Yarrowia lipolytica: one gene and its partners. The protein of the gene in region 3 interacts with the protein of the main gene of each other region in a biochemical or structural test. Links are inferred from orthologs where the notes say so. Each region holds a gene or a part of one and is shown on either strand. Other genes may lie near its edges.

Evidence for each region.
Region 1: the proteins of YALI1_C23989g (region 3) and YALI1_E00963g form a complex in vitro, tested with the Saccharomyces cerevisiae proteins (3 studies listed by BioGRID). The link is inferred for Yarrowia lipolytica from reciprocal best matches to the Saccharomyces cerevisiae genes SED5 and SNC2.
Region 2: the proteins of YALI1_C23989g (region 3) and YALI1_D30224g form a complex in vitro, tested with the Saccharomyces cerevisiae proteins (2 studies listed by BioGRID). The link is inferred for Yarrowia lipolytica from reciprocal best matches to the Saccharomyces cerevisiae genes SED5 and GOS1.
Region 4: the proteins of YALI1_C23989g (region 3) and YALI1_F39272g form a complex in vitro, tested with the Saccharomyces cerevisiae proteins (5 studies listed by BioGRID). The link is inferred for Yarrowia lipolytica from reciprocal best matches to the Saccharomyces cerevisiae genes SED5 and BOS1.

Annotation. Positions count from the first base shown.
Region 1 is NC_090774.1:91,177-99,641, reverse strand, and holds YALI1_E00963g (uncharacterized protein), read right to left. Parts: upstream 3,279-8,465; coding exon 3,189-3,278; intron 2,744-3,188; coding exon 2,495-2,743; downstream 1-2,494. Other genes in the region: YALI1_E00986g (uncharacterized protein), read right to left, coding at 631-957; YALI1_E00948g (uncharacterized protein), read left to right, coding at 4,786-5,151; YALI1_E00928g (uncharacterized protein), read right to left, coding at 5,812-6,102, 6,623-6,817; YALI1_E00907g (uncharacterized protein), read right to left, coding at 7,389-8,465. UniProt on the Saccharomyces cerevisiae protein: SNC1 and SNC2 are vesicle-targeting proteins essential for normal secretory traffic between the Golgi and the plasma membrane. They may also be involved in vesicle fusion.
Region 2 is NC_090773.1:3,021,220-3,024,214, reverse strand, and holds YALI1_D30224g (uncharacterized protein), read left to right. Parts: upstream 1-1,827; coding exon 1,828-2,487; downstream 2,488-2,995. Other genes in the region: YALI1_D30241g (uncharacterized protein), read right to left, coding at 20-142; YALI1_D30230g (uncharacterized protein), read right to left, coding at 831-1,271. UniProt on the Saccharomyces cerevisiae protein: Involved in transport from the ER to the Golgi apparatus as well as in intra-Golgi transport. It belongs to a super-family of proteins called t-SNAREs or soluble NSF (N-ethylmaleimide-sensitive factor) attachment protein receptor.
Region 3 is NC_090772.1:2,395,013-2,403,407, forward strand, and holds YALI1_C23989g (uncharacterized protein), read left to right. Parts: upstream 1-3,887; coding exon 3,888-4,808; downstream 4,809-8,395. Other genes in the region: YALI1_C23950g (uncharacterized protein), read left to right, coding at 28-480; YALI1_C24016g (uncharacterized protein), read left to right, coding at 6,628-8,395. UniProt on the Saccharomyces cerevisiae protein: Required for vesicular transport between the endoplasmic reticulum and the Golgi complex. Acts as a target organelle soluble NSF attachment protein receptor (t-SNARE).
Region 4 is NC_090775.1:3,925,342-3,933,449, reverse strand, and holds YALI1_F39272g (uncharacterized protein), read left to right. Parts: upstream 1-6,241; coding exon 6,242-6,922; downstream 6,923-8,108. Other genes in the region: YALI1_F39330g (uncharacterized protein), read right to left, coding at 1-421; YALI1_F39314g (uncharacterized protein), read left to right, coding at 1,999-4,098; YALI1_F39291g (uncharacterized protein), read left to right, coding at 4,324-5,679; YALI1_F39261g (uncharacterized protein), read left to right, coding at 7,294-8,108.

The DNA of each region.
Region 1 (8,465 bases), on a different chromosome or scaffold from region 3:
TACGGACCATAATGACCCCAATGAAGGCGTCGGCACCTTTTTCTCATAGCAGTCGAGCAGATGGGTGACCACAATAGCCCATGACGACCCGAATCCAAAAGCTATGATTGCAAATCCGACAGTGGGTACCATCCATGGACACCGAGAGCAGTCGATATTCCGAATAGGAGAATGCCGATAGCCATGGAGAAGTTGGACTTCATGAGGCTGTAGAGTTTGAATTCGGGTTCGTGGACTCCTTGGTTTTTGCTGAGCCAGATGATGGCCATATCATGAAACCAACCTTCAAAGAGACACCCCAAAATCATTCCTACACAAGGAGCAATATTGACATTGTCAATAGCTTCAGCTGAAAAGTTATATGGAGGTTGAACAAAGGAGTTGCCCGAGATGGTGGCTGCCATAGATAGCCTGGAGAGCAAGAATCCGTATTGAGGAGCACAAAAAGTCACGATAGGGTATGTGACGAGAGTTTTAAAGGGCGTAATCAATTTCCGGGAAAATTCGACCCAGCTTCCAGAAGTGTAAGTGATAAGAGCCAGTAGTCCGAACGAACCTGTGAGGAGTGATTTGTTTGTCTGTATCTCCAAGTCCGTGCCTGAGGTCTCTAATTTAACAGTGTCCAGACTATTAGAAAGGACAGCATCTTCGATTCCATGAGATCGACTCGGTTTGTTGTATTCTTCTGACAATTGAACCTCTCCCAGCTCGGACAGTTCGGCAACTACTGTAACCAGATACCCGATAATTGGTCTTTTCAAAGAACAGAAGTGTCATAACGAACTGAACTCCAGCAATAATAACAACAATGATGTACACCATTCTCCAGCTGAGATTGAGGGTGATATATCCTGAAGGCACCAGAACGAGAAAGTTGCCCACCTCTACCACAAACATGTAGATACCATTGTAGTACGTGCCTCGTTGGTGAACGATGTAGAGGTCTGCAACAGTCATTTGAATAATGGTCTCATCCACACTCACAGCAAGACCCTAGACAAACATGGACCCATAGACTTGAACGATGGACTTCATCCACGCCTGCGAGGCTTCACAGACGACAACTAAAGCTGAAACTGTCAGATAAAACGGGTCTTTTGCCGAATTTGTAGGAAAATGAAAATAGGAGATCCAAGTCCCAGACCGGCCACAGAAAGGGCATACGAGTTGTTCAGCTGGTCTACAGTCCAGCCATACTCTTGTTGCCAAGGACCCCACATTACGGACTAGACGCAGGCTGAAGTGAAAGCAATGAGTGTAAAAAAACAGACCTGGAAGAAGTTGAAGTGTTTACGCAATGTGGAACAGTTAAGGGGCTGTCTTGAATCGGAAGTTGGCACTGGCTGGAGGGTGGTTTCTGAGGTTGATGTGGTTTCCAGAATCACTGTTCCAGGAGGACATTATGAGTCTGCTTGGGGGTATATAGGGAATAACTAGCCAGTATATGAAGTCTCTGGCTTGAAAATCTCTGGACTATCATGTTTCATTAACAGTGCTCGACTTACATGCTGCCCCTTGTATCGCACTTGTACATTATTACAGATTGTCGACACGACAAAGTTGCAGCTCACCACTAGTTGTACTTCTGAGACATATCTAGCCATCTTATAATACATACAGACACCATAGACGGACAATGTCTTGCGGAATCCCATACAATTCCCTTGTAGGATTCGCCTGAGAACCGATAATGATTTACATTAACGGCTCAGCTAGGTCGTTGCCTGCTGTACCTTACTCACCTCTGCTAAAGCTGTCTCACTAATCAGCACAGATATCAAACCTCCGTGGGGCACTGTGTGCTAATTACCATACAGTAGTCATGTCCTTCCGGTAGCTACTTTCCATGCCATCCTTATCTTAAATTGTCGTAAAGTCTTATCCTTCCTCAGTCTTGGGTCGGGTATTCCTGAATATCACCACTCTCTCGGTCCATACTAACTCTCTCCAGTTCCCCAGATCCGTGGAATAATTTTGTAGATACCAAGTTTCTGGTAATCGATAATACGATTGCATTTATTATTAGAACTACCATTAGGAGTTTCTCGCACGCCTCTCATACATAATTATCGTCACTCTAGACACATTCCTGACCACAGACGTGACTGTATCTTGCATGGAGAGATGTGTTGATACTAAAACACAATATGGTCCGCATGAGTATGTACAAAGTATTGCCATGTCGGATACATTGTTACTGTAGTTACTACTTGTAGTAGCTCGTACTTCACACCAGGAACACAGGTACAAGTACAGTATATACTGTGTGTAATGCGGATATCTACAACCACAGTATATGCTGTAGCCAATGAAGCTCTTACCTGATGGTTCGTAGACAACACCTCCGTTTATACCAACGAAGATGTTTTCAAAGCTACAGGACCAGTCAGTAAGATGGATGCTTGTGCAAGTATTTCACAAACATCTGGCCAAAGAAAAGTACAGATTCATTACATAGGCATTAAGACCAAGACCATAAGGGGGGTCTAATAAATTATGAGAAATGGATGGCGATAGGGACAACAATGACGACAATCAGAATGATAACACCAATGATGAGACAGATCTTCATCTTGAAGTCCTTCCACCACATTTGCTTCCGCACTCGGTTGGCGCCTCGTCGGAAACCCTGTGCAGAGACTGCCAGGTTATCGGTCTTGTCCTGCAGAGAGTCTAGTCGCTCACCTCGCTCGGCGACTTTGTTGATGTTCTCTCGCATGATACCCACGGTATCATCGATTTGCTGGGTTAGAATTTGTCAGATGTGGTGTTTCGGGGATATTAAGAAACACGGCCAGGGAAATGCGGTCGATAACTCATGGTGATACCAGTCACATGACACGATGATAAAGAGATCTTAACGGTGAAACGGTCCAAGAACGCCGCTCAACAGCTGGCGTCTCACAAGTGAAACCTTCAGCTCTGTTGAGTGTGTAGTCGTGCTTGTTGTGGAAGTCGTGACAGTGTGTGATACAGTTGGGCAGGCATCCGTCATAATCAGACGGTGAGCCATATAGACAAACGATCACCTGATTGCACAAACTGGTCACGCAACAAACAACCGACTCTTCTGATGCCTCCAACTGGCCACCGTGCCTTTACCATCCTCTGAGCTGCTGGTATCTCGTTTTTGTGTCTGACGTTATGTCTCCTTAATTCTCGTGAAAGTGCCACGAATTCATACTCACTGCCTGGATGGCGGCGGTCTTGTGGTTACCGCCGGGGGCGTTGGACTCGCCACCGGGAATGTAGGGGTCGTATGGGACAGAAGAGGACATGTCGGAAGTCGGGGATGTGTGACGACTGTGAGGAGTTGAGAATAATGTAGCCAACTGCAGGACTGGGTATTTTTGTGAGGTTTCACACAACAAGGTTATTTTTAGCTAGCGGCATTTGAATTTGCACGTGACGGGTTGAAAAGTGTGTTACAAGGATATGTCAGGGCTGTGTAAGTGGCAACAGTGGAGCTACGGGTCCGGGTGTTTTTTTTTTGCAGGTTTCCGTTCTCTCGTCCCTGGCTGTATCTCCTTTCTCTACCACACTTTCCCTTCTACGTCATTATTTCAACACGTACGTCTTCTCTGTGCAAGTCCCAAAATCATAACACGGAGTTACAACCAGAGGAGTTGAGGTGATTCGCACTACTTGGGAGAATGAAGGGGGAGATAATGTTTTACTGTAGAGGAATGAGGATAGGAATGAGGTATATCATTAGCTATATACCTACAAGTAGCGTAGATTTAAGTGGAACCGCCACAGTGTGTAATTTCCAACAACTTCGGCACATTTTCTGCACTCGTACATGGCTGTACATACCTCATGTATGGGCTGTACCATGTGTGGCAGAGTACACCGCCAGCTATTTACTGTACAAACGATGCCAATCGGGGCGATGAACATTTGCGGGTGCTGGTTAAGCTTGCAATAGCTACAATTGTAGTAAGCGGTACACTCCACCCTACAAAATCCCAATAGAACGGGCCCAGTACTACGATACTCGTTCGTACTTGTACTGCCACGGACTCTTGTTTAAATAATTTGTCCACATCCGCTTCTGGTTATCAGCACAACACCATAACACATGCAGTCACTCAGCCTATTGTGCCGATAGTTTGATAGTTTGAGGACAGTGGCAACGTATTCATTGAAACCCAGCCTCATGCCGCTGCCCAAGACTGTGTCTATGAGAGTGGAGGCGGATCTTGAGCTTTCGGCGCCTTTTTTAAGGGTAGCCGCCGGTAGCCAATATGGTGCTTGGATACTTTTGCCAAGCCATAGAGATGCCAGACGAATGACAAGTATGATTGGATGGAAAAAATGGATGTGAAGATAGAAAGTACTACGGACTTTTAGTGCAAAGCAGGGGCTCTGATAAGAGCTCTATGGAGTGTTCAAGTTCCATATGTCCACAGCGCACGGTATAGATACGTACCCACAGTGCATAACACAGCTACCCTTACAACCAGAGCATCGACTCCCAAGTATGAAATCGAGATGCAAGTAAACAGTCAACTAAAAACGTGATAGCGAAACTAAACTCAAACACGGAATTTACAGCCTTCTATATCAAGACAGTACAACAGAACGAGATTTCACTGTTCTAATTTATGGCCATAGCATTTTACTACAGTAATTTACTCTCAAACCCGTATCCCCCTCCATCGAACCAGTCCTCTCGACACTCACTTTTCCTGCTTCGTAATGCATGCACAGTGAAACTCCTCCTGCGCTCTCCACTCTGTTTAACTTCTGGGAAAATCCCACACCATCATCCGAACTTACATAATGCTTCGTATTCGACCCGTGCTGCGACAAACGACGCTACTCCGCCACATGTCCTCTTCCAACACGCCCATCACCGATGCCATCAACTCCCGGGTCAAGCAGGAGTTCACCCCTGTCTTTTTCAAGGTCAACAACGACTCTCACAAGCACGCTCACCATGCTGCCATGCGGGGATCGGACAACACTATCGAGTCGCACTTTCGACTGACCATTGTCAGCGACAAGTTTGAGGGCAAGAGCGCTCCCATCCGACACAGAATGGTATACAAGCTGTTCGAGGAAGAGATGGCCCAGCCCAATGGTCTCCATGCTCTCTCTTTGACTACCAAGACTCCAAAGGAGTGGGAGGCTCTCGAGAAGAAGTAGAGATAACGATAGACACCCGAAGGCAGAAGTGGACCGTTTAAGACTGCTCACTTGATGATGCAATAGAAGTGATGCCAGACTTTTGCCAGTCACTCTAGACCATCTACTCTATCTGATTTCTCTCGTTCGATTACTGCCTGGTACGCCTCTCCGCGGGCCACTGTCCATCTTTCCATTTCGATGCGATGTTATCTACAGCGTCCCATCATGTATATAATAAAATCTTCTAGTCCAAGTCCATACCCATGTCATGCTACGTTATATGGCAAGATCTACAGTATTAGTCAACTGGAAACTATGTTCTTCCCCCATGCCCTAAAAGAGGTCAAGTGATCTATCTTAATAAGCTGTTTCTCTCCGCGGCAACAGTAGCTACGATACCGGTGCATACCGTACACACACTTCTCCACACCTTTTGCGAACAGCTGTTCGTGCTGTGTGAACAAACATGCAGTTGTTTATACGATGTATCTCAGCACTCGCAAAGACACTACGACTAGGGGTACTATAAATGCCCCTCATACCACAATTACAAGACCAATTTCTACACATCTCTGCATCAAATACTTTTTTTAATATCCTTTACATCACCTAGGCTTAAATAAATGCTATTACTCGCGCTAGTAATGCGTCTCCTTTTGTACATCATCAAATTTTGATTTAGGCCTTGGCGACAGCCTTGGCAAGAGCAGCCTTTCGCTCTCGTCGGTGGACCATGACCTGGAATCGCTCGAAGTCGGTGAGATGTCGTCGTCGCTCTCGCTGAGCGATCTTCTTGGCCCAGCTGGACTCGGACCACTCCTTGAAAGCAGGAGAAGCCTCGACCTTAGCCTTGATGGTCTTGGACTTCATGCCTCGCTTGACACCCTCGACAACGTGGGGGGTAAGGGTGACATGCTTGAGGTTGGCAACCTGTCGGGCAACGCCGGTGGTGGGGCCGTCGATGAGGACCTGGGGTTAGTACTTGTTTCAAACAACATGATAAGGGTGTTGCATCGGTGATGTTGCAAACAAGGCATTCAGCATGCTGTGAGCATTCCACTGAACTTGCCCCGACACTCCCGTGGCTGGACACTTGCTGTGTCGCATTTCATGCTCCTCCTCTAATACTCACTCGTCCGTGGTCGACAATCTCGGCGATGATGGCAAGCTTGCCCTGAGTGGACTTGTTGTCAGATCGGTTGATGAGGACAATTCGGCCAGCCTCGACCAGTCTCCAGTTAACGCTCTTCACTTCGGTCATTGTTGATGTCTGTATGTGTCGATGTGTAAGACTTGATAAAAATTCAAAATCCAGATGTGAGTGGCACAATTAGATTTGGGACGAAAGGGAAACTGAGTGGTCATGTGATATCAATTAGGGCACAGTCACAACTTAAATATATCCCAAAGGAGTCAGTATATAAACCTTAAAATTATTGTGCCAGGACACTATAGAAGCTTCAGCCATAGAGCACAATCATAAACATACAACAGCTTTCAACACACCAGCAAACAACAGCCTAAGAGTGAGTTCCTTTTGGAAGAAGATTTCATGATGATATAATTTGCGATTGAGAAGCCATTCTGTTGAGACATGCCTAGTTTCTACAAGCAGATGGCCGAACTGATATGCTCTTTCTCGTCTGACTCCTCGTTCATTGTCAGTGAATTTTTGACGAGCCATTCTAACAAAGGTTGAAATGCGACGACTCAATGTCAATCTCTCTCTAGGCAGTGATACCCCTGCGACACAAACCTGACAAGCCACTAACGACACCTCCGACACAAACACGATGATTAACTATACAGACGCACACACACACTCTACATAGAGACTTTATGGTGAGTAACTCCTTCAGCAATCCTCTCCTCTGATGATAACTATCTGCTACTTTTCTGTACACCTGAAGACAATCTTTTATCACCAAGATCGCTGATGTTACTATAATGCCTAAGGCGTTTTCTAAACATATTCTAACCCAGATACCTGAAGCAGACCTACTGCAAGTAGTCGTCTCCTCTATATAGCACGAACAGACATGATAATAAGCACACACACATAGCAGACAGAACGAATGCGTAATCGTACAATGTACTGGAGCAAGATACATTTCATCCCCGAAACATCTCCCATATTTATGTGTATCCCTTTATAATGTTCATACTGGTGGCGCTACCCACGTCTACTCCCGCATTATATTACCATTCATTAATTACCTGACTATAAATACAACTGTTGCAAACACCCCCATCACTCACGTCGTCAGCCGGATCTCCGGCAACTCAGACTTCTCTCTCTCCTGATGCTTGATGATCTCATGGACAGGCTTACACACCTTGTCCACCACATCCATGGCCCAAAGAACGTCCAAATGCGAGTAATCAACCACCCGGATGGTATCAACCAAGGTCACATCCGTCTCCACCTGTGTGATGCGCTCGTAGATCTTCTCAGCATCAACCAGCATATCGTTGGTTGGAATCACCAGCACCAGCTTGGGGAAGTTTTGATCGTACCACTTGACCCCCGCCTTGTCCGGCAAGATGCCTCTGTACTTGGAGAAGTGGTTTGGTCCAAGCCACCACTGCATCAGCTGGGAAGACACAAACGTAGGGGAGTAAAGAAACTGCCGGTTGCGCAGGTTTCGATCCCACCATTCGTCGGTCCAGTCAAACATGTAATTGAACATGATGTAGCCAAAGAAGCCATACAGTCTTTTGGGGAAGATGGAATGCATGGTGTTCATCAAGGGGATGTAGGAATGAATACCAAATGACCACTTCCATCGCTCCAAAGACATGTTGCGACAGTACTGGAAGTACCACCGGTCAATAAGCGGACCTGCGTATACAGCTGGCGCAAGAGCAACAAACAGCTTGATCTTATGACCAAGGGCAGGGTAAAAGTCCCGGGACATGCCCAGAAACGCCTGTGTGGTTCCCTGAGAGTGACCAAAGTAGATGAGCTCTTCTCTACCAGTGACTTTGAGAACATAGTTCACCAGAGCAGGCAGGTCTTCGGTTCCCATCTCCGTGATGTCCCAGTGCCACATTCGCGAGTCGCTCTTCTTGTACTTTGTGTGTTTAGGCTGGAAACCACACCGGTTATCTCCCAGCCACACATCATACCCCTGTTCCAGAAAGTAGGCTGCAATGGAGTCTTTCCCTGACGTGAGATAGGCTGCAGAGGACTGTAGCAGGCCATGGACCATGAGAATAGGCTCTCCAGTAGGTTCCTGGCCCTGTTTATGGAGCCGCTTGAGGTCCAGAATGAATCCGTCGCTCGTGGTCACCTCGTACTCGTCCAGCACGAATCCCAGTAAGTTGGCGTA
Region 2 (2,995 bases), on a different chromosome or scaffold from region 3:
TGACACCTATGTTCTAGACATATGATACTTGATGCAAAACGTGTTCAGAGTCCAAGTATTTTACTCGTGCGGTTCTTCGAAAGGATTGCTTGCAGCACAGACTGGTTCTTCTGTTCTTCTGTTGGTTGACGGACAAACGCATTGCTCAGGTTCGTCAATCATGGTCTCGAACGTGAATCAGCAGACGAGTAGTTCAGTCGAGTACTGCTAGATATTGACAGGCTAGTTCTAGCTCTCCTGTGATTTGTCCTACCAAACCAAGTACACTTATCGTCTGTTACATCAACAGGAACTAGCTGTTAGAAGAGTTGCCGGTCTGCTTTCTAGAGACATTTCATTCTCGTCGTCAAGAACACCTTGATAGCTCCGACCAAGAGTCTCTTATGTTATTAATTGATTGATTGCTTCTATTACAGCATTCTGTCATTGTAGGAATCAGCTCTCGCCATTCTGTGCCTCTGCGATACCGACTACTGGTGGGCCACTGAACTGAGGTTGTAGTGGATAGTGCTTTGGAGAACATAACCGATCAACTACTCTTTCGATCCAGCATCTCATCCGTATTTGTTCATGACGTCATCCGGTGCCATGCACCTTTTCTATTATACAATAAATAATCCTCCCTGGTTTGAAATCATGACAAGCTCATAGTATGCCTGCCAACCGCTTCATCTCCCATGATCTGAAAGATGCAGATGCTTCTGCCGTTTCGACTGTCGCAAGAAGCTTGTATAGAGCAGGTTCGCGGCTTGTGACTTGCGATGTTTCACAAGTCGTCCACGAGTCACTGGCCCCCGAGGAGTCCAATGCTCACTGCGTTCGATTTGCCGCTACTCTGCCGTGACATCCTCAAAAGGTGCCAACGGAAGAACACTCTCTTCGAATGCGGGAGGTTCGGGAATGGTAAACGAGCCGTCCAACTTGGCAATGGCATGGGACTTGGATCGAGCATACTCAATTACCATCTCTTTGCCCATGAACTCGCTCTTCTGCAGCCCGTTGAGCGCCGAGATCGACGCATCGATATCGTTAAATACCACATGTGCCTGGCCCCGCATCCGCTCGTTTTTCATCGCCACAATGTCGAGAATGTGTCCGTACGAGCTGAATCGCATGTACAGGTACCGTTTGAGGTCCGATTTAGTGCATTTGTCGGTGAGGTTTTTCACGTAGAGCGTTGGCGATGGGGTGGGTTCGTCGCCATCGGTCTTGGACTTTTTCGCAGGCCGCTTGCTCTCCACAAGAGCCGATTCTCGTTTGGTCTTGCCCATGCTGATATGTTGATGGTGGTTAAAAAATCGTGCATGATATCAGAGTAATGGGTTAGGGTCGACATGATACAAGTCGCTTCAAGGGAAATGGTGAGGAGGCTTGTGGTCCACCATACGACCTATTCGGTATTAGTCGAGAGCTGTAAGTCATTTTTTGCGAGCTTTATTCTACCTGACTGCAAGAACCAATACTTGTATTTATCCGCCTTATATTTACACCATCTCCCCCTTCTACAAGTGATCACTCACCTTATGTAATCAAATGAGGGGTTATTAGGGATTCCTCTATATATATATATTATATATATATATGTGTGTGTATGTTGTATAAGTGTCCTATGTTGGTCCCTTGTATTCTCAACCCCCTTCCCTCAGCCTAAGTCGCCGTCCCGGTATTGTCTGTTCTATTATTTGCTTCACAAGCATCATCTCGCTAATTTCATACTGTATCGTGCATGCAGTCAACTCCCACCTGCATGTGCGTCACGGTACGATACCTGTCGCTACGTGTACCTAAGTTCCAGCACCACCAAAAACACCACAAAGCCCCCCAATTATGGCGACCATATCGAGCTCGCGAACACAAGTGCGACGGCTAGAGTCTCAGCTTGCAGAGCTGCTCTCGGAGTACTCCTCTTTTGCCACCTCTCACGCCATAGCAGCCTCCGAAGACGAGGTACGGATTGGACGGGATATCGAGCAGGTAATTGAGAAGACCGCCGACTCCCTGGAGTCGTTCGAACGTCTGCTGGATTCCACCCCTAACGCCACAGCAACACAAACAGGCCAGTTGCAACGCCACAGAGAGACTCTCGCAGAGCACAGATCGCAATACAAGAAGATCAACGCTGGAATCAAGCAGGAACGAGACCGGGCCAACTTGCTGTCGTCGGTGCGGTCGGATATCGAGGGACACAGAAACCGAAGTGCTACTCCCCAGGCCGAGGAGGAGTACATGTTACACGAGCGAGGCCGGGTGGACAACTCAAATAACATGACCGATACTCTGCTTGCTCAAGCGTATGCGACTCGAGAGGAGCTGCTGACCCAGCGGGCGAGTTTGGCCAACATCCAGCGTCGGCTGTTTAACACGGCTAGCAGCATTCCAGGCATTAACACGGTCATTTCCAAGATTAACACCCGGAAGAAGCGAGACAGTTTGATTCTGGCGGTTATTATCACCCTGGGTATTTTGTTCATTCTCTTCCTGAGATAGCAACAGTAAACTTCGAACAAACGGGTTATTTTGTTGTTTTTTTCTGGGAGCATCTTGGGACACAACGTTCAGAGCGAGGTCTCACAGGATATGTTACAGAAGAAGCCCACGGAATTGGCCCTGATGGAAGTTGCCTATGGACCAAGAAGTGAGCGCAACACAACAAATTGGCGCTCGCTAAGGGTGGCGCAAACAGTAACAGTAGCTGCTAGATTCATTAGGTATGCTCTCTGCTGCTAGAGTGAGGTGAAATAGATGAATGTATTTAACAGTAGACTAAGCGTCGCAGTAAGGCTTGTGCCTGTTGCGGTCATTGTATTACCCTAGTGTGTACAATGGGGGAACAGTCTAAGAAGGGGGCTACACTGACCCCTATGTACATTATTTATATATGGATTCATTTTACAGGTTGTTTTTTTTTTGTTGTTTTTTTTTTTTTTTTGGTATATATGTCGTGTGGTTTGCATGTGATGTGTGTGATGTTCATTGATGATTCATATCGTGCTTC
Region 3 (8,395 bases):
GCTGTCGTTAGCGCTGTATATATACACATGAGTGGTGCAATAGGCTTTAGGCACATTAATGCACATGTACCGAGGGAAGGTTGGAAGGTTGGTTTGTGTGGGGAGGTTATGCAACGTGGCGGCGGTGGTGGCGGTGGCAACACCAAGCGGCGGTGGGTGGGTCAATCGATCGATTGGGTGATTCGTTCGATTGATTGCCGCAGTCCCGGTCCATGTTCACTATCTACCTCAATTCCTATCACACTACCGCAGTGGCTAGTGTGTACCCCAGATGTCACACCACCTAAGGGGCCGAATAGAGTTCATCGGCTTTGGGGGGTTAAGGTTGTTTCTGTGGGGAACGTGATTTTCAGAGCAGTCAGGGCAAGAGACGTTGGAGGCTACCAATTGCTGCAGAACCATTGGTGGTGGGTTCGGCTCAGTTTCCGGAGCTCCGAAAGCGACTCTCCAAGTCTCCCACCTCCTGTTCACCTCACCTGACGTCACTAGCCCACATCCACCGCAATACCTCGGCACATGCAACCAAACCTAAAATTATCCCCAGCACATGTCACATTATGGAGGCAATCTGACCATTGCGGAAAGAAACGGAGCAAGTGGCAGTGGTCGCTGATCGCCGGGAAAGGCCCAGCCTGAGAAAGACAGAGGAAGAGACAAACACAAACACAGACACAAACACAAAGCCTGACTCAGCAAGTGAAAGGGAGAGGGCGATCTAGACCGTCCAATCCGACTGGGAAGAGATGGACGGTCCAGATAGACAGAGCGTCTAGAGAGAGCCGTCTAAGCAATGTGTCTAGGGGCTGTGTCCAAACAATCTGTCTAAACGATCTGTGTAAAACAACCCGTCTAGATGGCATTTTCCCTGGCGGCGGCGCGTGACCAAGTTGCTCTAGAAGCCCTGTCCCAGTTACAAAGCCCGACTCTGAGATCCAGAATCTCTCCTGGCCATCTGTGTCGCCCAACCAATTCCGTTTGTCACCGCTGTCACCACCGTTTGTGTCTGTGTCGATACTGCCATCCCGCTACAACATGTCCCGTCTTCAGACTTGTGTCTGCTGTCGTGACCTGACCTGACCCGACCCCGTTGCACCATCTGCACTCTCACCGCCTCTGGCGCCTCTCTTTACCTCTGCCACGTTCGCCAAAACGTCCGCCAATCTCCCAGATCGCTCATACTCACTTCGGGGGTGTACTGCTCGCTCATGTTGTTGTGCTTCAGGTGTTATACCGTGTGAGTCTGGGGTTCTGGAGTCCGCGTGGGATTTATATCCAACCTAGGCCAAACTAGGTTTTCCCTTGTGTCAGCAAGTGGAGACCGGGCCAATCAGCGGCCAGCCAAAGTAAGATGGGGGCCGAATACTGCGTTTGAGACGCTTCTCCGGTCTACGATAAGGTCTGCCGAATCTGGTGGGGCGGTACGCATCCACATTTAGCCCAAATCTAGGTTCGTTTTGGACCTTTTTTGGTAACGTGATTGTGAGTATGTACGCAGTCTACATTGTAGCATTTGACATGTTGAACAAGTGCGAGTATGGTACATACAGAACTTGCAACTACCGAGTGCAACCACCAAGTACCGTACCGTACACCATCTCATATACATGTGTCTGAGGCTGTTGCAACGGTTCGCTCGATTCTCCATCCCGCCTCGAGCAGGACTAAAGAGCATACCAGGCAAGTCCGGTGTGAAGTAGCAACTTGACCTACTTATGACGGGGTTAGGGTTCCCGCAAGAGGGAGCTGGACGGTGGAGAGTGTGGGCAATTGGTGGAGGTGGCAAAGTCGGTTGGTGTGGGTGACTATGACTACGACGACGATTACGAGTATGAATTCGACTACGACTACAGTACTTGTGGTTATGTGTGTCCTGATCTGTTGGCTGTCGATGCACATACCACATTCATCTGGGGGACATGAACCTCGGCTGTACCTTACAGATGAGGTGCCGAGTGCTTAGTAAGCGGTAGGTGAACTTGTCGGAATGGCCAGAGAGAGGGATGTTGCATTGCAGAGACGGCATTTTATTCCTCAGAAGGTGTTTATTCCTTAGAAGGCGTTTATTCCTCAGAAGGCGTTTATTCCTCAGAAGGCGTTTATTCCTTTAATTCGGCCCTTTCTGTCAATACCGAATCGGACCCACACACTTCCAAAGTGGGGTTTAAACCAGATTTGATAATCGTCTGATCGGAAATCTGAAAAAAGCAAGCGATTCCCCTTGCCATTTTGCGTCGTTTCATCCCATTTCAAGTCCTCTCTGACCCAGATAGACCCGTCCAGCATGCACTCTATCGATGTCGATCTTTTTGCATACGGCTTCTGCATGCCCCGCCCCGCCCCACCAATGGCGAAGTTTTAACCTCACGAAAAACAAATTGCGGTCAATTTGCAGGTCCGAACACGCCACCTGTGGCTCAGTCGCCGCCGCTTGGACTCGTATTTTTGTGGCAGTGCAGAACAAAGTGGCCGAAAATTACACACAAGCCTGGAAGTGTATGGCATAACATTCGGAGGCGTGTTTGAGCGTTGTCGGGTTTGAGGTGTGATCGCATGGCATACTATACAGACACCACTATGCATTAGGAGGTACCCGTGTTGGAGTGTTCGAGGAATGTCAGGCTGTCAGTTTGCTCCATAGCAAAGCCTTCCAGAGTACTGTACTTGTACAGAACCCTTTCAGCCAGTCTGCAGGCGATCGACAACTTGGTGAACGTCTGTCGCGGTCCATTTCGCCAATTCTGACTAAGCCGGTAGTGTCCATGTCCATGATGAAAACGGTGGACAAGAGACATCCCCAAGAGGGTTGGCAGTAATAAATTGGACAATGGCCACGGCTACACGCTTCATATACGAAACGTCAACTAATATTCAACTAACCAACAGCTAATCAACAACTAACCAACAGCTAATCGACAACTAAACAACTATGTTAACTAATTCCCAACTAATCTCAGCTATGTTAACTAATTTTCAACTACAAGCAACTAACCACTTCACATTCAAACGAAAAGTGGATGACATGTGAGACTGTTTGTACACAAGATATGGATGATTGGTTCGGGATCGTTAAATCCAACGCACATCTTTCCTTGTCATTGAAAACCTGCTACTGCACATTGTTGTTCTCGGACTCCGTTCAACGGTCCGGCGATAGGAGCAGTTGTATCAAACGGAAATGTTGCGTTTTGCAACCAAGACGAAAAGTGGCAGATCAGAACGGTCTGGTTCACGTGAACCTTCGACTCCTTGTTTTTGGGCCTCTTGACTGACACAACGTGAATGGCTACTTGTTCTCGTAGTAGTGTATGTATGGTGGTGTACCTACCTATCTACAGCTGAGGACTCCCCAACCGTACATGCCTACATAGCAACGAATGCGCAACATGTCAGGTCACCCATATTCCTTGTTCATGGCTGTGCCTGTTCTGTAACAAAGACCTTTAGTGTCTACTATGGTGTGTTTCGGTTCACTAGTGGTACGTACTGGCACTATAAGTAGATCATGTCGGGTTATTTTTTTGGACTGGTTCTCCCATTTAGGAGAAGCACAGCCAACCCCCCTTTTGGCACTTTGCCGATTTTACCGCCGTTTTACAATTTTGGTAGTGGTTTGGGAACCACTCAGATCCTGTTAGAGAGGACATATTGAGACCAGAAAAGACGCAACGATGGAAACCCCGCGCAAATAAATCGATTTATCCACTCGGAAACCCGATTCCTCCGCTCCCCGCCGTTCCACCCATACATTTCCTGCCCCCCATCTCCTCCAATTAAGCTCACGTGCAACTTTACATGCATCCAAATATGAACACCTCACAGTTCCAACACGCCAGAGTGACACTGTCCGACTCAACCTCCCACAACAACAGCACAGTCCCCAGTTCGCGATGCTCTCTGTGCAGAACCGGACCCAGGAATTCAAAAGCGCGGTCGCGGCGCAGGCGCGGCTGCGGCAAAACGCCGTGCCGGCGCCACAAACCCGATCTGCAAAGTCGCAGTTTGCCCAGGACGCGTCGAAAATCGCCGCCGAAATCGCCGACACCACACAGATGCTGCAACGGCTAGCACAGCTGGCGCAGCGCAAGACGCTGTTCGACGACCGCCCCGTGGAGATCAACGAACTGACGCACGTGATCAAACAGAAGGTGTCGCGGGTTAACGAGCAGCTGACCCAGCTCCAGCAACGGGCCAAGCAGTCGACGGGCCAGAAGCAGACCATGGAGCACTCGAAAAACGTGGTGGTGTTGCTGCAAGAAAAGCTGTCGACAGTCACGGCAGGGTTTGCCGATGTTCTGGAGGAGAGAACTCGAAACATCCAGGCATCCAAATCTCGACATGAACAGTTCATTTCCGCCACGTCGGCTTCCACACAACAAGCGGCTTCCAGCCCGCTCTACGGCTCGGGAACAGCTTCGTCCAACCCTTACGATATGCAGATGCAACAGCAGGATCAACTGAGTGGAGCAGACCCAGAAACATCAGACCTGTTGACCCTCCCCCAGCAGGACACGTTACTGCTTGACCAACAAGACATGTACGTGCAGCAGCGGTCGACAGCCGTGGAGGCCATCGAAAGCACCATCCAAGAACTTGGAGGCATGTTTTCGCAATTGGCCACTATGGTGGCGGAACAGAGAGAAACTGTGGCCCGAATCGACCAGAACACCGATGATATCTCGTTGAACGTGAGTGGAGCGCAGAGAGAACTCATGAAGTACTACGCTCGAATCTCGTCGAATCGGTGGTTGATGGTCAAGGTGTTTGGTATTGTTATTGCGTTTTTCATGTTGTGGGTGTTGATTTCGTAAGGCGGCATGTGAACTAGAGAAGACGAATGGAGCAGGGTTTTTCTCGCCAACATTCCATCTTGGTTTGAGGACTAACAGTTGGTTGAAATGTGGTGAAATGGTGTTTTCTTGGTTGAGTGTTTCACTGAACTCCTCATCTCTCTATCCAGTCTTTTGAAAGAACTCTGTCATACCTCTGTCAACAACATGGACTCGGACGCACAGGTGTGGGTTTGCATATACAACCGGGGCACGGGAGAGGAAGGGCAGGCAGGATACATAGTGGAATAGATGGTGTTTGAATGTGCTGGATGTGTCTGGTATCTGGTTCTTGCAGCCACGCGTGGTGTTAGAAGATGGTCTTGTTGAGGACTGTTTGATAATGTGTCTTTTCAATGGACTTGGTTCGCACCGGGCAACCAACTGGATACTTACAACTCCAATCTTGGTGGTGTTTTGCATTGCAACTGTCAATAGCAATAGCTCATTTCTCTGTCAATGGTGCTGGGAAAGGGTGCTGGACCTCTTCTACACGCCCGTTGGATGGCTCGCTGAGGGTCGCAAAGTCCGTGCGAAATGACCTACTTAGAAAATACCTCCGTAAAGAAGACACCTCAGCTCCTCCGTGGCAACACAGACCTGTTGATCTAGAACAAGTCACCCCAGAGACCTCCCGGAGCCCTCCTGGTTCTGATTCTATGACCCTTCAATATTGTATTTCGGCCTACTTCATGGAGACTACCAGAGCGGGTAAAACAGCTCTCATGTTTAGGATGTTCAACATATAAAAATGTAGCTGCTGATCTCACCATTCTCATGGTACCATCAAAATCTCAGTATCTCATGTAAATATAGAAATACTGCGAAACTTGAAATTTGGACCCCCCCCAACCAGAACCCGATCACGTGACCGTAATACCCTGCCACAACCCTCTATGCGGCTTATTTCCCCATGTTTGGGAGCAGCCCATGCACACACACATATGCACACACATATGCAAGTTACGTTTAAAACCACAGGTGCAGCCTTGATGACTAAGCGCATAATACATTCCACTGTTTCATCTGTGTTTCACGGTCGTGCCGAGGGGAGAGTCCATTGGAGATCACGTGTCCAATACTGGGGCATGTGTGTTGGTCACGTGATCTACAATATTGTGAGATTGGTCGCTTTATTGGGTTTTTCCAGGTGTTTTCAGGTGTATTTTTAACATGTTCGTAGAATCAACCGGATTCTCATCTTTGAAAATTGGAGATTTATTGTGGATTTGTGGATTTTAGCATTTTAAAGGATATCATTGGATTTGTGGCAATGAGGACTATACAATGGTGCCATTTATATCTGTCTCTCATTACTCCTTCCTGTTGTGTTCTCTTTTTTTTATACGACCACCCCTATGATGAGCAGTATGTGAGACAACCATAACACTGTATTTTTTCAGGGGTTTCTGAAAAGCTGAAAAATGATCATTTCTGAATTACGGAATATCTATTCTGGTCAAAATTGTTCAAGGAGTTGTTTCCCGCAGTCAAAATCCTTCTATCTTCTCTCAATGATCCCCTATTATCGAATCGGTTATTTATAAAGTTCTTTTCTGCCGCAGCATTTAAGGTTGCTGGCATGCATGATGTTCAAATATAGGCAATCTTGGAGTATCATTTTATCCGACACTATTACAGCTTGAAAGTGAGTATGGCCCGTCTGCGGGGGTGTTTGCAAGTGTCTGGGGCACGTGTGTGGGTCATGTGATGTACACGTGTCGCGTTGCCGCGTGTTTTTGGCCCCACGCTACCACGACTACCCCTCCTCATCGTCCTTGCTACTAACACAGACGACCCCATGGGTCTGCTAGAAAAGACGCTATTTGCGGAAGGAGAGCCGTTTTCCTACGATGGCAACAACCGGGGCAAGCGCAAACTCCGGCCGATGGACGGGTCGAGTTTGCCGCTTGAAAACACTGACTTTTCGGCCGAAACCCTCGATCGACTAGTTGGAAGGAACGTGGTGTCTCCTGCTTCGGACTATTTCCATCTTGGAGAGAGTGGTGAGGTTTCAGAAGAGGTACGCGCAAGACGGGAGCTTCGGGACCGTAGGCTTGCTGCCGAAGAGGAACGTGAGAGGGGAGCGAGAGCCGCAAGAAAGAGAGCTGAAAAGGAAACCTGGAAGGAGATCGAGCAGAAGTACGGCGAGGGGAAGGAGCCTGTGGTTGGAGATTTGCGGCGGCATGTTTCGAAGGATGAAGACGGAAATGCAAAGGAATATGTCCCCTTTGATGAACCGTCGACTTCAATCATTCCTCCTGAAACCAGTCAGGATGGCAATAAGGATTGCAAGCCTCCGAAGGGGGCGTTTGAGAGAGAGACGCCGTCGTACAAGACTGCGTTGCCTATTGGTGAGTACTACCGAGGAAAAGTGGGACCGTTTGATCTATATGGGTACTGTACTGCATTACCCATACTTAACGGAAGACAGGGCTCAGGCCATGGGACCACTGATTGTAGTTGCCTAGTCACTAACACAGCATCATCATCTACCTCATCCAAATCCCGCACGTCCACGTCACCACCATCACCAACATCTTCTTCGTCATCCAACTCGGATACCAAAGAAACACACCATGGACACCAACACGACTACACATACCACGACACGACATCCAACGATTCGTTCAAGGACGCTCTTGAAGAGCTGGATGAACCCAGTGACGACGGAAGCTTCCAGGAGCCGTCGACAGCAAAAAGCACACACAATTTGCATTCCTGGAAAGATGGAGATACCGACACACTGAGAGGAGAGCATGCTGATATCGGCACAGCAGAAATCAGCACTTTGGGCAAGCCAAACCTTAGCATGGGCCACGTGATGGGCCGAACACACTCGCCGTCCATAGCGTCACGTGACTCATCTGCTTACGTGCAGGAGCCTATCTCTATTGTTGAAGATAGTGCGAGTATCGAGGAGGAAGAAAGTATTACAACCACCCGGTCACGTGTATCTTCCCACTCGCGTGACAAAACTGTGTCTCCCTCGCGCCCAGGGTCTCTATCACGTGTTGCATCACGTGACCGAACGGTTTCTCCAGGTGGATCACGCCCCTCGTCTCCTGTTCGATCAAAATCCCCTCCTCTGCCTGCATTTACATCAGCTCGTCACAAGTCGCCACAACGAGTTCCAACACTGGAGTTGCCCGAGGGCGATGGAGGCAATCAGGTGACTAGACATGAGGACGATGCTGTGATTATTGACGACTCAGAGTCCTCCGTCTCAGAATACGAGGTGGAAGCGGATCTTCCTACGATTGACGCAGCCATGGACTCGTCTGAGGAGCAGCTAGAGAACGACATTGATCATCTCGGGATTGGAGACTCGTCACGACTAGACTTGCCGATCCTGCACTCTCTAGAGTCCCATTTGCTGCCTCATATTGAGGGTCATCATCATCATCATCATCATGGCCATGTTCGCAAGAAGCTGATTCGACGACTGTCCAACAGCCGTAAATCGTCCGAGTCGTCCTTGTCGTCGATTGACTCACGTGACTTTTCCCGTCCCGTCCAGTTCTGCAATGAGGTTGGAGTGCCTGATCCCTCCTGGCAGTCCCACGACG
Region 4 (8,108 bases), on a different chromosome or scaffold from region 3:
CGTAGAGAATGGCGCCGTTGAGCTCGTCGGCGTTGGCCTGCACGGTGTCGTACAGCTCCTTGGAGACCATGGGCGAGTGCTTCTTGTTTCGGGGGTTCACGTAGTGGTACAAGTCGTAAACCACCTGCGAGAACTGCTTCTTGGTCTGCTTATGCAGGTTGGACACAGCGATTCGGGCAGCCAGAATCGCATAGTCAGGATGCAGAGTGGTCATGTAGGCGGCTGTCTCGGCAGCCAGGTTGTCGAGCTCGATAGTGCTAACACCCTCGTAGATACCGGATGCAATCTTGAGGGTGATCTGGATAGGGTCGACGTGGTCAGGGTCGAGGCCGTAACACAGACGCTTGATACGTGCAGTGATTTTGTCGACCTGGACCGACTCCTTGCGGCCGTCTCGCTTGATGACAAAGAGCTTGGACATGATGGGGGATGGGTATGCAAAAGGAGAGAGGAAAACACGCTTGCACAGGGAGACACGTATCTTATATATTTGACGGAATTAGGTTCCCTCCCTTGGTTTAGGGTCAAGGTGCAGGTTACTGAAATGGGTCGTGATAAAGGGGTGAAAGAAAAGCAAAGATGGGAAATGACATATCAGTAGACGTTGCAAAAAATCATTCGTATCATATCCGTTTTTCTCCTTATCAACAGCTCCTCTTTATCACCTCCTATACTGGTGTTTGGATCCTGTTGGTCACGGTTGCCACCGCGTCGAACTCAATTATAAATGATTTTCATTTACAGCTCTTTTCGTGTTTTGATCACGCGTTAGTTTGTGCAAATCAGTGGTTTTCCAAGAAAAAATTATATGACTACTATAAGAAAATGACAGAAAATTCAATTAAAACAATAGCTAAGCAATATCTCTTTTATATTATCCGTCTCTCGTCCTACACGCACATGCTGTATCGTTCTCCCTTCAACGCGCGCTAAAAGTGACGCGCATCGTCATTTAGCATCCAAATCGGGGAACCCTATATTATTCTGCACGAAAAAAGCGTGCAGCAACAACAATTTGGAGCTGTGCACATCCAAAAGGAAGTGAAGCCAACGTGCAGCTCCATTGTCTGCGACCCACACATTCCATAACAATGCCTAATTCGGTCTAAATAACTTATCGCTGCGGAAGCCGACTATCAACCTACAAGTAGTCCTTGTTGTCGGCTGCTGCTGTTGATTGTGTCGCTGCTGTGGCCGTTGGTACGCTTGTTTCTATGGCACGGACACCTTCTTTGCCGCTATAATTTCTATATGGTGCTCCATTGTCCACACCAGCTTGTACAGCCTTGGACCATAAAACGGTTAGGTACGAGACCATTGTGTTCTCAGTTATGGCCACAAGACATTTGCAGATCAGCTATTGTTAGCCAGGACCGCAATCTTCGATGAGATGACCAGCCAACCCATCTTTGGGTACTTGTAGTGTATCCACTATACTTGTAGTGGCAACCATCCGACACCCTCTCTATAACGCGCTTCGTACACGCGATTGACACTGCTCGACACGCTCCGTCTCCATTGTTGTGCATCTACGACGCCACCCAAGTCTACATTGTGACGTGCATTGTATAATAGGCATGGGTGTCTGTACGGGCAAGGAGAGCCGTGGGACTATGCTGTAGGAATTTATCTGCTTCCGGAGTGTCAGTCAGTCTATAGTCAAGCAATAGCTAATTGAGCAGCTGCGTCTGAACTGTTTTCCATAGTCCAAACTGTGCTGTGTCTCGCCACTGTTTCCATGGCAATGGGTTTTGACCGTGCCTAATTTCATGACACGAAAACGACAGCACCGGCTCAATTACTACAAGTTAGCTTGATATTGTAGTATCTACTGTAGCTACTTGCACTTACTGTAGAATGTTTAGTCAAAGCGTGCCATTAGACTAGCTCTCGAACTCTGTTTAGAAGCGATACACCACAACAACATCTCCAATTACGGTACCCGTACCAGTGATCGTACTACAGTCGACCTTGGATATACGCCGGCTGCTCCGACACATGACGCCGCGACCGCATTTACAACAAGAGCACGAGTTTTACGTTTCTCCAGGAACCAAAAACCGCGAGGCGGTGATCGCAGCTATTCCCGGAGTCGAGGTGCTCGCCCCGTCTCGAGACACCATCAACATCTGTGCCAAGCGCGAGATGGCCCATCACAAGCAAATGTACCCTACGTTGGAGTTTCATGACCGCACCATTCTCAATAAGCTGCGAAGCACACCTTCGCTGGCGCGTGCTGCTATTCTGGAGACTCCCTCTAAGTTCGCATCGGCGAAGTATCAGAGCAGTGCATCACGGTTCAAGGCCATGGTCAGACAACAGAGGAGAAGGAGTAAGGGAATACGTGTTGAGACGGTGGACGATACGTTAGCCGTTGATAAGGATGACGAGGAAGGTGGAGACGATAACCCATTCCAACCTGTGAACAAGGAATCTAAGGTCACGGAGCCCGAGGACGAACAGAACGATCAGAGTGACTCTGAGGAGTCAGAGGAAGAACAAGAGTCGGAACCCCAAGGTAAAACAGTGAACGTGAAAAAAGAGGTGACTGACGTCACAGCTTCCCAGATTGATGAGTCCGACAGCTCTGACAACTCGGGCTCGGACTCGGGAGAGGGAAAGGGATCGGGCCAGGACTCGGACTCTGACGGTCCTGACGGTTCTGACAACTCCAACACCACAAACGAGTCGGAGGAATCTGAACAGGAAGGACAGAGAGAAGAAGAATCGATTCCTGACTCAGTTTCGGAATCGATACTGCCTTCTCTCAAGAAGTCTCCTCGCAAGAGAGTGTCTATTACTCAACCTTCAATCCGAACCTATCGCAACAAAAGGATCCGAAAGGTCGAGGAGATTTCAGACTCTGATGATGATTTTGGATCACACACTCAAGAAAGCCAGGAGTCTGTGAAACCAGAACCCAAGAGGCACGAGAATGACAAGTTCTACGAAGCTGAGGAGCAGTTTGAAAAGGATGAGGAACAGTTTGAGACCGCCCCAGATCATCTCGGCAATAAAGGGGAAACAGAGGACGAACCTGTAGATGGTTCCGAGTCAGAATCCGACCGAGAAGCGACTCCTACAAAAACAAGATCAAGCAGATCTCTCTCCAAGACTCCAGCCGAGGCGCCCAAACTATCAACGAGGGCCTCTCAGCCACCGAAGTCACCCACCAAACAACCCAGCGAAGCTCGTAGACGACGCCGAGTGTTGCTGGATGAAGACGACGGATTTGATGACGGGTTCGAAACCGAGTTTTCCCGAGAGCGACAGGCAGAGTTCTTTGTCCAGAGCGACTCTGACCACTACAGTGATGATGAATACGGGCAGGACAGAAAGGGGAATGGACACCAAAATGAACATCAAAACAACAGCCGGGATCAAGTCGCTGTCAAAGAAGATGAAGGAGAATACGCATACGATCATGGAGACGACGAGGAGAACGAGCATTCAACTCGTGGCGAGTTCGATGACGAGTTTCTGCCGATACAGCCGAGACGCCGCGGCAAGCATTCTCTCCAGGGAGGGAAGAAGGGAAGACCACGGGACAAGTTCAACCCTTCCAAGGATAGACTGCTCCTGGAAACTTCAGAAACAGCCAAGAAACTGGCTATTCCTCGCAAGGAGCTCTTTGACCAGCTCACCGCGATGATTGGACACACAGAATTCTCCCTGCAAACTCGTCTCTCGAAGCTGGAAGCCGACGAGAATTTACGTGATATAGCCCTCAATGCTCCTGTCATTGAAGGCGCTTCTGTGAGTGATGTCTTTGCCAAGATCATGCACAAGGCTCAACGAACGACGGGACCCAAGCCTCGGGTGCGAATTCCGTACACAGATCTGGACGACCTGGCGATCAAGGCCTTTGTCTGTGACTTGGACCCCTCAAAACGTGGATCTTATAGCTCATATGAGCCGTTTGCAGAGAAGTACACTCATCACGACTCCAGCAGTGTGAAGGGTCGATGGACCAAGACACTGGGTCCTCGGACTAACGAGATTGAACTGCTGGAGGCTAAGCAAAAGTACACTCCTCAGCTTGAGCAGCAGTATCTCAACTGGTTACATAATACCTATCCTGCCTTATTCCAGGGATAGTTAGGTGGTTACATAAATAATTATTTATTTGCATTTGGTATACAGTAATGGAATGTAGAGGGTCATAGTAGATGCAGTTAGGACCACAGTGAGCTACAGTATGCTACAAGTAGCAGAAGCTCCGAGCGCCCACACCATTAGGGATTGGCCAACTCTTCGAGCTTCGAAAGCCAGACAGTGTTATGTAACAGAGACAAACACAGCCGGAAGATGCCACCATGACATATGCTACTCAGCACAGAGGGTAGTTGTGAAGTGGACAAACAGCACAATCGTAGACCACATACTAAAAACTCCAATTCCGTCCTAATCTGTGGCGAATATAGCAGGTGCAAGTATACGTACAGTACAAGGGATAATTCCATGAATCTTATAGTATCTGTCTCAGTACTTTTAATGTGGTTTAGTGCGCTCAAACATGTTCCGCATCATGTTCGCCGATTGGCTACTGCGCCACAATCTCCCAAACTAGCCACACTTAGTCAGCACAACGTGCAGATACTCAATTCTATATCGAAACTTAGCCACTTTTCCTCATCAACAATGCAAGTTCTCAGAGTGGCTCGATATGGCGCTAGCCGCATTGGAAGGATTTCCACCACAGCTCCTGCCTTCACTACACTGACCCCTCAATGTGCCTCTCGACAGTTTTCGACCAGAAGCGCTCTGCTTAACAACAAAAACATGTTCAACACCAACAGTGAAGAACCTAAGCAGCAGAAGAAGCAGTCTGGAGCTAACGAGCTGGAGAGCGACGAGCCAGAGCCGCAATCACAGAAGAAGAACCGAAAGCGTTTTGTCTTCCTCGGTCTTTGTGCCCTCATGCCTATCATTTCGGGCTACCTTGGCACATGGCAAGTCAAACGTCTGCAGTGGAAGGTGGACAAGATTGCCGATTGTGAGAACCGACTTCTCCAGGAGCCTCTGCCCCTGCCTGGACACATTACCGAGGACCAGGAGGTTCTGGAGAGAGAGTTTGAGTACCGAAAGGTGGTGGTTACTGGTACACTGTGCCACGATGAAGAGTTCCTGGTCGGACCTCGAATGAAGGACTCTGTCGAGGGCTACTTCCTTGTGACTCCTCTCGACCGATCTAAGACCGGTGGATCCAAGCTGCTGATTAAGCGAGGCTGGATTTCCAAGGAGATGGCGGACCAAAAGAAACGAGACCCTCTCGCTCTGCCCAAGGGCGAGGTTTCTCTCGTCTGTCTGCTCAGACCTGTTCCTCTCAAGAACATGTTCACTCCCGATTCCCCAACTTCCCCCAGTGTCCGAATCTACAACTTCATGGACATTCCGACAATGTCCAAGTTCACCGGAGCTCAGAACATTTACTTGGAGGAGGAGCTCAACATGCGCCTCGGAGGCCACGAGTGGGTCACCGAGTCCCATATGATGAACCATGGAGTGCCCATTGGAAAGCTGCCCAAGGTCGATCTTCGAAACACCCATTTACAGTATATTGCCACCTGGTACGGCGTGTGTGTGTTTACCACCGTCATGCTTGTCATTATGTGGCGAAAGGGCCGAATGAGCACTCTCGACAAGAAGGTCGCTTACTCTCGAAAGTACGTTACTTAAGGGAGAATTATTTGTACATAGCTAATAGAGTCTTCACGGAAGAAGGGGAGAGTGAGCAAGCTTGCGGGCTTGCTTATGAGCGGGTACGAACCTGCTTGTATAGCTGCATAGCTATCTATTATTGATGAGTTGTGATGCCCTCGTAGCCAACTTTTTTTTTCTTCTGCATTTGTACAATTTACAGCCTGAAGCTTGTTAAGAACGAGCAGCTAGTTCAAAGTTTAGTAGATGTTTACTTGGACTCAGCTCCACCTGGTACTTGTATGCAGGGGAAAAAGAAAAAAAAAGCACGTTGTCCTATTAACGGCCCCTTGAAAAAATTCTTGCGCTATCTAAACCTCTACTTGTAGTTCAGCTCCAAAAACCTCGCCATACTTTCCATAAATCCATTTTTGTACCCCTGACTCCGAAAGCAGTGCATCCCGTGCACATCACATTGTGCCAACCACAACAATAAAAGTTTAGGTTGTTGGAACTACTCACACCTTGGAGATACATCACCAACCTAACACGTCATCTAACAAACAACGAGGGCTCGTACCGCAAACTAGCTACTTTCACCATGAACGCGATTCACAACCATCTGGTGAAGCAGAATGCCAGCTTAAAGAAGGACCTGTCCGAGTTCTCCGCCAACCCCGCAGGGGCGCCCATGTCGCTACAAGGCCAGATTTCGGCTACCATGACCTCCTTCAGCCGAACCCTGGACGACTATTCGGAAATTATCAACAAGGAACACAACAAGGAGAAGAAGGAAAAGGCTGAGGCACGTCTGGCTCGGTTTCGTGAAGAGCTGGCCGACGCACGAAGCGAGTTCAAGAACCTCAGATCGGCCCGAGAAGAGAAAACGCTAGAGGAGAACAAAACGGCGCTGTTTGGAGACAACCCTTACGGCGAGTCGCGAAACAGAAACGTGAACCGAGACGTGCCGATTCAGCCGACCTACACAGATCTTACACGAGAAGAGGGCATGCAAAGGGAACAGTCGTCTCTGAACCAGGTGGGCCAGCAGCTCGACTCATTCATTGAGCAGGGAATGGCTGCTCTGGGCGACTTGCAGGAGCAGAGCGACATTTTGAGAAGCACCGGAAAGAAGATGCGGTCTGTGGCCGAGACTCTGGGTCTGTCTCGAGAGACCATCAAGATGGTGGAGAAGAGAGCACGACAGGACAAACGGTTTTTCTACGGAGGCATCGTCTTCATGCTCGTGTGTTTCTATTACATCTTGAAGTGGTTCAGTTAGGAGACGACCAGCAAGCTAATGGTCATAAAAACAAAACAACGCGACTCAAAACAAAACAAAACAGAGAGCCCAGAGTGAGAGAGAACAGGTACGGTTTAATTAACGGTGGAACAATCTTTACATATAATAATAGATAATGGTGGACATGCTGAGGAGGATGATACGGAAATTGACTACCTGTATATAGTTACAAGTGAGACAAAACTATGAGTTATCTACATACCGTAGGGCATGTCCCTATCACTCCTACTTGGCTCCTACATACGAACTTTTATCATATCCTGATCAGTGTTATCCACCCAAACTCTAATAGTTTAATACAAGAACGGGACAATCTGAAAAGTTGGATGTGACGCAACAGTACACTCACCATGAACCAACAAATCAACGCGGAGATTGTCAAGCTGGTGGGAAACGTTCCGATTCCAAGGGAGGTGACAAATCTCGCATCCACGCTCATGGGCAAGGCTCAGACAATTCCAATGAAGCCCAACGAGACTCCTGCTCGCATGGCTCTGTGTGCCCATGTAGCGATTGAGAAGCTGCTGATTGAGCTGCAACTGCCGGCACCCAAGCAATCACAACCGCCCGTTCCACCGAGATCTTACGAGAAGCTTCTCCAACTGTTCCGAGAGGAGCTTCTGGGCGCTCCTCCTGGCCCCTCGACGCCGCGGAAGAGAAAGTCGCCAATGAAGAACCCCGAATTGGTTGCTCAGAGAACGCCGAAAACACCAAGGACTGCTCGACAGGTGCAGAAGGACATCCAGGAGAGCGGTCGAAGTGACGCCAATGTGATCGGGGAGGATCTGTTGAATTCCGAGGCGATTGGAGAGGAAGACGGGCTGTTGCCAGATACACCTTCAAAGACGAAAAAGTCGCCGCAGAAATCGCCCAGAAAAGGAGGGCCCAAGCAAGACGATCCACAGCCAGCCGACATTGAATTCATTACAAAGGAGCTGCGATTCCCTAAACATGCATTGGAGGGCGTCCAGCGGGGATTCGACTTTTACTGGGCCCTAGTCAAGGACAGATGGGGGCTTCTGTTCGGACTGCTGATGACCATTGCATTCCACATTCAGCATAGATCTTTTACCGATACAGAAGCCACGCGCGAGGCGTTCAAACAGAGGGCTCTGCAGCTTACACGACGAGCAGGCATGCCCGAAGACCGAGTTGAGGAGTGGAT